Linked DNA regions of Cricetulus griseus. The protein of the gene in region 1 interacts with the protein of each later gene in a biochemical or structural test. Links are inferred from orthologs where the notes say so. Each region holds a gene or a part of one and is shown in the gene's direction. Other genes may lie near its edges.

The links. The genes of interacting proteins can lie anywhere in the genome.
Region 2: of the proteins of Uba1 (region 1) and Cdc34, one has a biochemical effect on the other in vitro, tested with the Homo sapiens proteins (7 studies listed by BioGRID, with this or other methods). The link is inferred for Cricetulus griseus from reciprocal best matches to the Homo sapiens genes UBA1 and CDC34.

What each region holds. Positions count from the first base shown.
Region 1 is NC_048604.1:125,487,768-125,490,312, forward strand, and holds part of Uba1 (ubiquitin-like modifier-activating enzyme 1), read left to right. Parts: intron 1-200; coding exon 201-396; intron 397-1,043; coding exon 1,044-1,118; intron 1,119-1,237; coding exon 1,238-1,427; intron 1,428-2,466; coding exon 2,467-2,545. UniProt on the Homo sapiens protein: Catalyzes the first step in ubiquitin conjugation to mark cellular proteins for degradation through the ubiquitin-proteasome system.
Region 2 is NC_048598.1:100,496,404-100,500,156, forward strand, and holds the end of Cdc34 (ubiquitin-conjugating enzyme E2 R1), read left to right. Parts: coding exon 1-20; intron 21-109; coding exon 110-283; intron 284-2,958; coding exon 2,959-3,169; 3' UTR 3,170-3,468; downstream 3,469-3,753. UniProt on the Homo sapiens protein: E2 ubiquitin-conjugating enzyme that accepts ubiquitin from an E1 ubiquitin-activating protein, and catalyzes its covalent attachment to other proteins by an E3 ubiquitin-protein ligase complex. In vitro catalyzes 'Lys-48'-linked polyubiquitination.

The sequences.
Region 1 (2,545 bases):
GAAACATTTTATGCTTTTTTTCAGTTGTCACCCTCTGCACTAGGTACACTTTTTTCAAAGGACTCTAAATGTTCAAGTCTCATGCTGTGGAAGAATCAAGACGAGTTTTCTGTGGAGAAAGTGGGATTGCCCTAGAGCCTACTTTCCTGGGGGGGGGGGCATTGTATAATCTTGCCCCTGGGCCATTCACTCCCTAATAGAGACCCCAAGTTTGTGGAACGGACCTTGCGGCTGGCGGGTACCCAGCCATTGGAGGTGCTGGAGGCTGTGCAGCGCAGCCTGGTGCTGCAGCGACCACAGACTTGGGGTGACTGCGTGACCTGGGCCTGCCACCACTGGCACACCCAGTACTGTAACAACATCCGGCAACTGCTGCACAACTTTCCTCCCGACCAGGTAATGTCCACTCGTGTCCCATTTGGCAGCATGCACTGTCTTGCGAGCAGTTTGCTGCAGACTCTTTTCAAGTGACTCCTCCTAGTTACTAGTTCAGACATGGCTGGTGTCCAAGGCAAGAGATGTCAGAAGAATAACTTTTTTGTCCAAGGAATGTCCAAGGAGTGACCTCATTCCTTGGAGCAAGATGATTGGTTCTCTTGCTGTTCCCCTTCCCTGCAGTGTAGGCCAAGTCTGACCTGATTTTTGTCAGGGCTGTAGTGGACCATGAAGTAGAGATTCTGGACTTGGGAGGACAGGAGTAAACATGTATTCAAATCCCAGCTCTCTCTGAACTTGGGCAAGTCACTTCTCTCTGTTCCTTTCTTTAGCTACAAGGAGGAACAGTTGTGATGTTTCACTGGTATTTATTAATACTATGTACATGCCTGGTGATCCAGTCCTCTGCTAAAGAGGTTTGTGAAGAAAGTAAGAATTAGTGGTGGCTTTCTCAGCCAGGACCTTGCAGTGTGGATCTTAGATGATTGATTCCAGCCCTTCCAGGGACCCAGCCAAGGGTAGCAAGTTGGGGCGCATCCAAAGCCAGTCAGGATTGTCAGAGAGGCCTTCATTTCAAGATCTGCTTCTTGAAACTCTCTTTGTTTTAGCTTACCAGCTCAGGGGCCCCATTCTGGTCTGGACCTAAACGTTGTCCACATCCACTTACTTTCGATGTTAACAATGTAAGTCTCCTTGTTGGGTTTTCCTGGGATCAGGTAGAGGATGGGTGGGTGGGAAGGAGGTGGTGACTTCCTATCCAAGGGCAAATGTATTAACCCTATTGTGCCCTGCCCTCCCCTAGACACTGCATCTGGATTATGTGATGGCTGCTGCCAACCTTTTTGCCCAGACCTATGGGTTGACTGGCTCTCAAGACCGAGCTGCTGTGGCCTCACTTCTGCAGTCCGTACAAGTTCCAGAGTTCACCCCCAAGTCTGGTGTCAAGATCCATGTTTCTGACCAGGAGTTGCAGAGCGCCAGTGCCTCTGTTGGTGAGGGTGTTTGGCTATTTGGTCAGAAGTCCCTGTCTCTAGTTTCCCCATTAGTCCTCTTCTAGTAGCTCTGTGACCTCACCTTCCTTTGCACTTCCCTCCCTCCCTCCTCTTTCCCACTCTAGCAACCAGGAAAACAAACTTTGTTCTTGCTTGGTGTATATTTGCCTTGGTTTTATTCTTTCCTCTGTCTCTCCTTGATCTGTTCATCTAGGAGGTATGATCTCCAACAGGGGTCTCCTCCTGATTCTTGCCTACTTTGTTTCCTTCCAGATGTCCCATGTCTCCCCATCCATGCATCCCTCCCATCTCTGTCTGTCTTAACCCTAATGTTGTCCATCAGAATTTAGTCCTCCTGCCTTCCCTTTTGGATATCTGTAATGTGTTTATAGTTCTGTATACCACCTCCCCTGTATTGACTTTACCTTTTCTCCATCTTCTAAAATACCTGTTTCATGTTCTTTGTGTATTTCCTTTAGTCTTTTCTTCTACCTCCTGCACAGGTTCCCTCTGACTTTTTTCTCATGTTTCCTCCTCCCTATCTCATCCTTCATCATTCCTCTTTTCATATATTCTCCACCTTCTCAGATCCTTCCTATCCTTGTTTGTATACTTCCCCATATTCCCACCATGTCTTCTGTGTCTCTATATACAATATCTCCCCAAGACTGACAACCCCTTCTATCTGATCACTACCTCACCTCCACTTTGTCTTACTGTCTTTGTTTCTGCTCCTAGTCTCTCTCCAGATCTTGATAGCCTCTGCTCCTGCCCTTTTCAGGTTTGCTCTCTGTTGTTTTCCTTTCCCCTTTGACCCTTCATTCTAGGATCTCTTTCTCTGTCTCTCTCTCTCTGTCTCTCTCTCTGTCTCTCTCTCTCTCTGTCTCTCTCTGTCTCTCTCTCTCTCTGTCTCTCTCTCTCTCTCTCTCTCTCTCTCTCTCTCTCTCTAGATTCTCTATCTAACTGAATTCCTTTTGCCCTATATAGCTTTTATCCTCACTCCCTGCATCTAAAGGACCGGATTTTTCTTTTTGTGCAGATGACAGCCGTCTTGAAGAGCTCAAAGCTACATTGCCCAGCCCAGACAAGTTATCAGGATTTAAGATGTACCCCATTGA
Region 2 (3,753 bases), on another chromosome or scaffold:
AACCCCACGCAGAATGTCAGGTGAGCTGCATGTGTCCTCACACCAAGGGAACTCCAAAACACCCTGCCCCTGTCCCTCCTTTATTGCTCCACCTGTCTGGGGTCCCCAGGGTCTGTAGGGAGCTGAGCTTGCACTCACGGCCCCACAGGACCATCCTCCTGAGTGTGATCTCCCTGCTGAATGAGCCCAACACCTTCTCGCCCGCCAATGTGGACGCCTCAGTGATGTACAGAAAGTGGAAGGAGAGCAAGGGGAAGGACCGCGAGTACACAGACATCATCCGGTGAGTGCCGGTCATGCCGGACAGCGCTGCCGCAGGGCCTCTTTGTAATAGATAACTGTTTGCTGTAAGAGTCATCTGTGTTGCCGGGCGGTGGTAGCGCATGCCTTTAATCCCAGCACTCGGGAGGCAAAGACAGGTGGATCTCTGTGAGTTTGATACCAGGCTGGTGTACAGAGCGAGTGCCAGGACAGCCTCCAAAAGCTACACAGAGAAACCCTGTCTCGAAATCACGGTGCGGGGGGTACACACCACAGAGCACAACACAAACCCCTTCCCATGTCAGCTCTTCTCTGTTCCCCTATAGCACAGCTGCTCCCTGGGGTGGCAACTGTTGTGTTTCCAATCATGCATCCTGAGCTTGGAGAGGGAAAGAACAGGACTGTGTGCCCAGAGCACCAAGTAGACCACCCAAGATGGCCAAGAGCCTTTCTTTGGCTTGTCTTCATGGGTGACTGGGGCACTTATAGGCCACATCCTCAACTGCCTCTGTAAGCATTGCTTGTATTTGTGGTTCCGAAACTTAGAGCCTTTTTGCAAAGGAGGAAGGTCACAGCCTACTGTGACCTGTCCTCAGGAGCCAATATGACAATCTCCATATCCATCATCACTTTTCAGCAGGGGTTCCTGGCTTGTTTGGGGGTCAGGTGGTCTCCCTTATACCCCTAAAGCAGGGTGTGAGATTGCACTTGCAGGATTCTAGGCAAATGTCAAGCCCCACAGCCTCTCAGCCCTGCTAAATGTCCATGCCGGTTCCCACATTCCCAGGCCTGGTCACTTGACTTCTCTCTCTGTTTTCTGAGACAGGCTTTCCTGTAACCCCATATCCTCCTCCTCTCAAGTTCCCTCCTGGTGCCAGGGTGACATAACACCTCACAACCAGCAGTCCCCTGCCTCAGCACTGACGCAGGAGGACAGGTGCTTGTCCACACACGGTGACCCAAACACACAGGCCTGTATTGTTCCCACACTGGCAGTGGCCTGGGCCCATCAGCAGGCATGCTGAGCAAGCCACACATGTCAGCCTGCAGCCATGGACTGCAGGGGCCCCTGGGCCTTGTCCTGCAGAAGCCAGGCCTGACTTCTCAGAATTGACACAGACTGCAGCTTGGTGATCAGTGCTGGAACAGCAAGACCCTGGACCAGGGTCTCTGGCCTCAGAATAAGATGTGCCTAGGCCTCCCCTCTACTGTGTAGCTGCCGTGGTCCTGTGTGGAGGTATTAGTTATTTGGGAATGTCTGAGTGTTGAGCAGCCCTGTTCCTCTGTCCTCTGCTCAGCTGTCCTGCCCATCCCCAGGTGGGAAGAAGGCAAGATGTCCTATGGGGTTTCTTTTCTTAGTTTTTTGAGACAAAGTCTTAATATGTAGCCCTAGCTGTCCTGGAACTAGCCATGTAGACCAAGCTGGCCTCAAACTCGGAGACCCACCTGCCTCTGCCTCCTGAGTGCTAGGGTTAAAGGCAAGTGCCACCACCATGTGGCTTAGTTATGGCCTTTTGTTGTTGTTGGCTGTTTTGTCTGTCATTTGTAAGTAAATGTTTTAAGCTTTGAGTTTGCCATGGCTACACTGAGCCCTTTCCACCACCCACTTCCTGTCAGCCTGACAGTTGGGACATAATGGTGTCTGACAGGCTGCCTTGGACTCTGCTGTGCACAGGGCACCATTGGGTGTGGCACCAGTGAAAGCTTTGGGTCTGGATCCCCTGCCTCCTGGCAGCCTTTGATCCAGTTCCTTGCTGCTTCCTTGCTGTGTCCCTGTCCCAGAGCAGAAGCCCCAGGCTATTTTTACCATTCTGACTCCAGGAGCCACTTGCTATGACCATGAGGAGGCCCTGTACTACTCCTGGAACTCAGCCTAAGAGCCAGTGTCTAGACACAGCGACACGCCAGCTGGAAGCCTGTGGGAAGAGCCTTGAGACAGGTCTAGGCTGTTATGATGCATTGTGGTAGATGCCCCTCCAACAATGTCTCACACTCCCTTCTCCATGGGAAGCTAAGACCGGCGTCTGCCCTACTCTTCACCTTTCCCATCAGGACCTGCACCCTGAGGACAGCCTGGCCCCTCAGGGCACCTGAGGCTCTAGCCCAGGCCTGATTTCTTTAGTTAATTGCTGCCCTTGTGCAGGGAAGCTCTTGCAGATTATTGCTTCAGAGTGAAGCCAAGCCAGACTGGTGTCCCTGTCACTTCCCCCAGGCCCAACCGTAGGCCTCCGGCACTGGCCTTCACAGTGCCTCGGCTAGGCCTGCAATTTGGGAGTTTGTTTGGTGTCGGTGTGGTGTGTGAGTGGGTGCATACATAAGAAACCAAGGGACAAAGTCTGGTGTCCTGCTCTGTCACTGTCTGCCTGGAATTGCAGGCCCAGAGCTGCCATGCAGCCAGTGTGGGTACTAGGAACTGAGCGTGGGTCCTGTGCTTGCACAACACGTGCTCTTACTGCATCCTCTCTGGCCCTGCAGTGGCCCAGGCTGGCCCCAGACTCACAGCAGCTTCCGGCCTCAGCCTCCAAGTGCCAGGCGATAGGCCTGTGTCCTGCACTTGGCTGTGGTTACTTTCCTGCCTGGAAGCTGGTCACTGAGTCACCCATTGTCTCCTAGCCCCTTCCTTCCACCCTCTCACCCTCTATCCATTGTCTTTGGAATCCTGCCTGGGCCACGGCCTCACCTCCCCTGTCTCCCTAGGAAGCAGGTCCTGGGGACCAAGGTGGACGCAGAGCGTGATGGCGTGAAGGTGCCCACCACGCTGGCTGAGTACTGTGTGAAGACCAAGGCGCCGGCGCCCGACGAGGGCTCAGACCTCTTCTACGATGACTACTATGAGGACGGCGAAGTGGAGGAGGCCGACAGCTGCTTTGGGGACGAAGAGGACGACTCTGGCACCGAGGAGTCCTGACCCGCGTCCCTGAAATAAACTTACAAATTTTACCTCAGCAGGACCCGTGTGGGCCTCAGGCGATAGACTACCTCACTGAGGTTCCATGTGGGCTCCCGTCCCGTGACCCTTAGGTCCTCTTACCCCGTGGTGCCTGACAGACACCCCACTCAGCTCACAGATGGTGACAAGCCTGGGAGGCTGGGGACCGCCTGGTGGGGAGGCAGAGACTCCATCCCAGACCTAGCAGGGCCAGCCCCACAGTCACCTCCTCTCTGCTTTGGTGTGTGTGAAATCCAAATAAAATGGCTTTCTGAGAAGCTGGGAGAAGCAGCCAGGACGCCAGTGGCAGTGGGCAGCTCGGCCAGGGCCGTGGGATGGGCAGGAGGAAGCACTGATTGAAAATTGTCTGTTCATCGGGCTCAGTGGTCTGAGGGCCCCGGCCCAGAAGCAGCTCCTGATTGCCTGCAGATCGGGCTCGCCTGCGTCAGGCACTGCACGGCGGCTCCATCAACCTGCATCCATATCAAGCCTGTAGTCAGGAGGCTGGGCCTGGGATTTGTGTCTCTGGAAAGTCTTGGGTCCTAAGGTGTGTGGGGGACCCC